2 linked regions of the Nothobranchius furzeri genome follow. The protein of the gene in region 1 binds, or shares a complex with, the protein of each later gene. Links are inferred from orthologs where the notes say so. Each region holds a gene or a part of one and is shown on either strand. Other genes may lie near its edges.

The links. The genes of interacting proteins can lie anywhere in the genome.
Region 2: gtf2h5 (region 1) and polr2b share a complex: the UniProt entries of both Homo sapiens proteins name them as parts of the TBP-based Pol II pre-initiation complex. The link is inferred for Nothobranchius furzeri from reciprocal best matches to the Homo sapiens genes GTF2H5 and POLR2B.

What each region holds. Positions count from the first base shown.
Region 1 is NC_091742.1:2,693,556-2,696,450, forward strand, and holds gtf2h5 (general transcription factor IIH subunit 5), read right to left. Parts: upstream 1,451-2,895; 5' UTR 1,311-1,450; intron 1,120-1,310; 5' UTR 1,095-1,119; coding exon 1,060-1,094; intron 962-1,059; coding exon 781-961; 3' UTR 646-780; downstream 1-645. Other genes in the region: protein SERAC1, read right to left, coding at 2,503-2,639, 2,754-2,895. UniProt on the Homo sapiens protein: Component of the general transcription and DNA repair factor IIH (TFIIH) core complex, which is involved in general and transcription-coupled nucleotide excision repair (NER) of damaged DNA and, when complexed to CAK, in RNA transcription by RNA polymerase II.
Region 2 is NC_091741.1:64,309,164-64,312,564, reverse strand, and holds part of polr2b (DNA-directed RNA polymerase II subunit RPB2), read right to left. Parts: coding exon 3,387-3,401; intron 3,108-3,386; coding exon 2,921-3,107; intron 2,779-2,920; coding exon 2,635-2,778; intron 2,552-2,634; coding exon 2,412-2,551; intron 2,325-2,411; coding exon 2,213-2,324; intron 1,719-2,212; coding exon 1,564-1,718; intron 1,491-1,563; coding exon 1,292-1,490; intron 971-1,291; coding exon 802-970; intron 494-801; coding exon 397-493; intron 315-396; coding exon 220-314; intron 87-219; coding exon 1-86. UniProt on the Homo sapiens protein: Catalytic core component of RNA polymerase II (Pol II), a DNA-dependent RNA polymerase which synthesizes mRNA precursors and many functional non-coding RNAs using the four ribonucleoside triphosphates as substrates.

The sequences.
Region 1 (2,895 bases):
GTTACATTACTGAAATGCTCGGATGTAGAATTTGCTCGTTTATAAAATTTCTATCCTCAGACATGTTAAAAGTACATTTGCAGTTTCTGTCCACCTAACATAACATTAGGGACACTGTCTAGTGTTAGACTTTTCACAATTATAACTGTATCTCTGTCATTTCATTCATCAATAGAACAAACTGAAGGTGGCAAAACATTTTAAACAGGGAAAACTCATTATCTCAGTATTTCATTAACGTTATGAGATTTGTGAGAAATGTCAATTTCTTCTCTGGTTTCTATCTGAAAGCACTAATTGAATCCCTGATATCATAAAAACAACAATTGAATTATTTTCTCACAATAATTACTCTGTTGTAATGTACCTCTTCAAATGCCTTAGGTAACTGTGAGGTTTTGTTTATCATATTTTTCTCATTTTGCTCCTGCCATGAATGTAATTGCTAGGCTGGCATGCCATTCTAGATATGTACATATATTCCTTTAACCCAAATTTCTCCACTGTGGATAAAGGGATTTTCTATTTTTCTATCGGAACTAGATTAAATGAAAAATCTGATTTGGTTAAATTATGGTGTGAATTAACAAGTACTTTTAATAGATTATTTTTGTTCCCCATCTACAAGTGAAAAAGAACTCCACAAAAATAGAAACTTTTTATCCAATTGATCACTTCCACTTTTATCAAACCAAAACATTTACATGTCTCATTTTATTAAGCAAAAGCAAACAACAACAAATTGAGTAGTCCATGAGAGGAAAGTCAAAGATCTGAGGGTTATTTTTGCGTGATGGGGAATGAATTCTGGTCCATTAACTCCCCAACTCTCTCCTGAAGAGTCTGGACCACCTCTGCCAGGATAAAAACGTGTGTGTCGTCAAGATCCTTGATGATGAACTTCTTTCCTAAAGCCATGGTTTCATCTAGGTAGAGGAGAAACTGTTTCATAGCAGGATCACTGAAACAGAACATGGAGAGGAAAAAGACATTATAATTGTAGGAGTTTTCTACAGAAGAAAGTAATTTTACAGTTTTCTTCACTCTGAAGTTCCTTACCATTCAACAAGAACACCCTTGTGAACATTCACCATGATGACAGGTGTAGTTGATTAAAGTCTGCAAAATAAACAAAACGTGCAAAAATGTTGCGACAGTAACATAAATACTGTATGCATATACAACACATATTCATACCGGACAGTTAATGTACAGAGAAAATTCATGAGAAATAGTAAACAAGCTAAAAATAACAAGCTAACAACGTATTTTGCAACACTTTTAAGCAAAACGTTCTAATTAAAACTTACCACAACAACCACAATGTTCGGGAGAACACTAAAGTTGGTAAGAAATCGTGTAAAACTACTCGTTCAGACCCAACAGCAGCTGCTTTTTAAGCTAAGTTCCGTAGCATTGAGGTAAGATCTACGGCGAGCAACCAGGGACAATCTTCCTCTACCACTATAGCATTGAAGGATGCGCATTTTTGCCACTTCCGTTTAACATGTTCTTCCACGCTATCTGGTACATTTCACGTAATTATCTGCTTATATTATAACGATTTCACTGTGATTTTTGAAAAATTGTTATTAAAAATATTTGACGCTCCTGTGCTTTACTCCCAGCCCAATTCCACCAAGTGATCTATAATGCAAGATTTCTGAACAAACGTGTACGTGTATGTACATGCATACATACATATGTATACATGCGTACGTATGCATGTGTGTGTGAGTATTGCACATGTACATTTGTTTTTAACTATTTTGCAATGGATGCTTGTTAAATTACTTTTTGTCAGATTAAGTTAGAAAATAAACACCAAACGATTTCCATTTAACAATTCTGTTGTATTCAGTATTTTAATACATCATTTAATGAATGCATAGACAAGTCAAACTCAACAAATGTACTCATTCATTTGATTTATTCTCATTTCTAGTATATGTTGGCCCATTGTGATGCATAATTAATGTAATAAAATTAATAGAGTTGACCTAATATATTAAATCAGGGCCATTTTAAAAAAGGCTTGGCAAATAATCCATTTGGCACAAAAAACAACACGTTTCAGTAGAATGAATGAATACAAAAATAACATTTCAACCATTACTCTGATCAAAACTACATAGAAGCAGTTTTTAAAAATGCATCTTTAAGTAAATATATATTTGTTGTGGCTGCAAGGTCTAAAATGGAAAGATGGTGGTACTTCTCATAATATGAGTTTACTCGAAACATGACTTTGACCGGTAAAAATGAAAACATAAGGGAGGAAAATGTAAAAAGATAACAAATCAGAGGTTCGGGTTTATCTATCACAGTTAGTAAGTGTGTGAAATAAATGTGTCTGCATTATGATTGTTAACATCTCACATTATGGTTGTAAACGTGTACAAAAAGAGGTTTGGGGTTTTGAGTTTGTTGGTGGAAGGACTCAGTGTTCCTCAAACTTCAAGTAAACAATTTAATGTCACTACTGATGTGCTTGTATGTCTTTTATTGGCTTGTGTATCTCTGGAGTGCTTCCTGGATGAACTGGAGGCTGCGTCTGTAGAGAAACGAGTCCTTCTTCTCTGGTTTGCAGATGTTCAGGTGATCCACATCCACCTGAATGAGCTCTCCGATGCCCAGATCTGGAACAAAACGAGAGATTACTCAAAAAGAGAAGGTAAGAAACTGGATGACAGATTTTTATTATTTTATCAAAAGTATAGCTCATTGACTTTTCCCCACTGTATCTTACATACCTGCTGACTGAGTTGGGACCACAAATATCTTAATCATAGGACCAATATTTGTGGGCAACGTCTCTGCAAAGCTCAGCACTTTGATTTCATTTTCTTTGGCAATTTTCAGAAAACCCTCATTCAGGTTACGCAGAGCTGGGGA
Region 2 (3,401 bases), on another chromosome or scaffold:
AATAATCACGTCCTCTCCGGACACACGAACACCAGGAGCAATGAGACCGTCGTCGTCCAGCTTGTCATAGATGGCGTGTCTCATACCTGAGGACGCATTAAGTGTCGTAGCTTTAGAGTGGCTCTCATGGCAGACACTAAAGCCTGAACCTGGTTCTAGAGTAAAATGTCCCGCCAGACTCCAGAGCTGTTGGGTTATGAGTCCAGAATCACTTCTCACCCTGACAGGTTTCACGAGTCGGCTTCTCAAAGATCTCTTCCTGATCAAAACCTTTCTTAGACTCCTGCTCTTTGTAGGATCGATAAAAAACAGACCTACGTGGAAACAAAGCATGACGTAAAGAAGCAACACAAACACTCAGCTCAGAAGAAACTGCTACGTGTTCCTGGAACTCACCTGAAGAACCCTCGGTCTACAGCCGACCTGTTCATGATCACAGAGTCCTCCTGGTTGTACCCGGTATATGAAGCAATGGCAACTATTGAATTGATCCCTAGAAACAGAAAAACACCATCAGAGAAGAGCTGTCAGCGAGGACAAAACTTCTGCTATGACCTACAAACTAACCATCAAATCTAATCAACTGTAAAAACCCGGCACTTTCAGTTAAAACTAAAGAAGTTTCTCAAGTGACACTGTGTCTTGGATGAATCTACAACTAAACTAATGGTTTCGTTTGCTGATTTATTGTTCTCCAGAGCTTAAAAGTAGCTAAAGAGTCCAGAATAAGTTTAAATAGATGTCTCAACAGTTGGGTGTTTGTCTGATGGGAACAGCCATGACTGGAAACACCCGGGTTACCTGCTGGCAGTTCTCTGAAGCGCAGGTACTCCATGGATCGAGTGGTGACCAGTGGTTTCTGAGGGTAGTACAACACGTGAGCCAGCGTGTCCATTCTCACATGGAAGTTGGTGATGTAGACGCCCATGGCCTGTTTGCCCATAGCAGATTGGTACGTGTTCCTGGGGGACTGAACAGAAACCAGACATCTTGTTTAGTCTGTGCAAGACACATCAACCTCATCAGGCCATTTTCTGTGCTGCTAAACTCTGATCTGGGCTCTGTAACCTTAACTTATCAAACACACAGCTGTCCTCTTAGGTTTGCTGCAGAAATTAAAACAGAGGCAGCGATTTCGGGGCATCCTCCACCAGAGAACCTTTATCTATTATGTCAGAAAGTGTTGGCCATGCTGCTTCGCTAGATCTGATTCAACGAAGCTTTCCTCTTTAAGATCATCAACCTGATCATTTCATTTTGCAGCCAGAATCAAACGATGTTTTGTTGGAACCTGGTTGTGATCCGGGAACGGGATGATGGAGGCACACACTCCGAGGATCATAGATGGATGGATTTCACAGTGGGTGTACGTCGAACAATAGGCCACGCCTTTTTCCTGAAGGTCATCGGGGGTCATGGCGAGCATGACAGTTTCCTCCTCCAGCGTGTCAATGTATTCCACTACACCACTCGCCACCAGGTCCTGCCAGCTGATCAGCAAAACAAACAATGTTCAAGAAAGTGCACGAACGCCAGTCTGCACACCCGTCAGCCACCCCTCACCTGTAGTTGTTATATTCTCTCTCCTTCAGCTGGTCGATGTGTCGTCTCTTCAGCAGAAGTTTCTGCTTCTCTACAATCAGCAGCGGTCTGCAAATCCTCCCGGCATCCGTGTAAATCCTGATCTCACGTTCTCGAATGTCTCTGATCATTGATACCTGGAAGGATCAGAACCACCCAGAAGCAGATGAGAGTGATCATCACTTGGTGAGCAGACTGATATCAGACTGTTTACGACTTTAAGCCTTCAGTTATGTTTATTATTAATAATAATAATCATAATTACGTCCAAATGTCATATTTCCCATTTTACTTTAGCAGAAACTCAAACTAATGTGTTTTTGGTTCATTTACATAATGTCTCCTGTCTGGATGTCGGAATTCCCTCTGGGATCAAAAGTGTTCCAGAATTACGTCTGAACCAAAAAATAAACCTCAATGCAACTTTTCTCCTGTTTGACTGAAATCTTTAAATCTAGAAAATGGACAACTAAAATCGAATAATGTCCCTACATTGTGAATGGTCTCGGTCTTCAGAAAGTCTGAAGTCTCAGTCTGGTAAATCCAGCTGTTTATGTTTCAGCTCCTAGCATGCAGATGTTCCTAAAGCAGCCTTTCCGGTCAGAACTAATGTGAATGTAACTGTCCACACCTCAGACACAATGATGTCCATTTGTCGGCGGAGCTTCCTCAGCGTGTTCATCAGCTGCTCGGGGTCTTTGTGGATTCCGACCCAGCAGCCGTTCACAAAGATTTTAGTGGCACTGAAGAACAGGAAACACAAACATGAATGGAGTTTGAGCGATTATTGACGTGAATAAAATCGCTCAGATTCAAGCAAGGGAACCAACTCAGCGATGGCAGCAGGGGAGATCTCCTCCAGGTTCTCCATGCTCCACTCCTCCAGAAACTCCAGGATGGGTGACGGCTGCGAGCCCACAGAGATGTAGGCCATCAGGGCCAGGTTCTTCACCAGACCCACAGCATGACCCTGCAGGCGGTGGAAAGGTAATTATGATATTTATCACCAAGACCATAACGAAACATAAGACTCTGACCTGGTGTGGATTTTACCTCAGGAGTTTCAGCTGGACACACCATGCCCCACAGAGTGTTGTGCAGCTGTCGAGGCTTTGCCAGTTTTCCATCTCTGCCGATGGGAGAGTTGACTCGACGAAGATGTGACAATGTGGAGGCGAAGGTGAGACGGTTCAACACCTTTGATTTCAGGTTAGAGGAACCCAGTTAGACTTAGAGAACTCGAGGGAGAGCTGATTCCACAACAAACATCTTGGATCTACAAAACCAAACAGCTGGCATGGAGCCAAGCATCTGTCTCAGGTGAGACAGGTATTCTAACCTGAGACACTCCAGCTCGAGCCTGGTGAGCCTTCTTAACGTCGCCCCAGTTTCCTGTGGCCAGCGAGTACTTGAGTCCATCTGAGATGATACGAGTCTTGATGGCGAGCTCCAGGTTGAAGTCTTTTCCTCTATCGATGAACTTCTGAGCATAAATCCTGATCTCCTTTAGAAGGTTCTTAAACATCCTGAACAGAAGAATTCAGAGTTTAGCTTAAAACTGTCCAATCAAAACAAAATCCTACCTAAAAAGTGAAAACATAGAAAGCGATTCCCTCAGCTGATTAAGCCCGTTTCTCATTTTTTTATCATTTTAAATGCAAACTAAAAGAAGTTGTTTCACAATTATAGCCTTGTATCAGCTGAAGGACTGGAAGCTTTTAGTTTGAAACAGACAGGAAATTATGAATTTTTTTTTAATTAGAAACTGATGTCTAGTTTCTCATCCAGCGTGTGTGTGGACCCACCCCCTGAACAGGAAA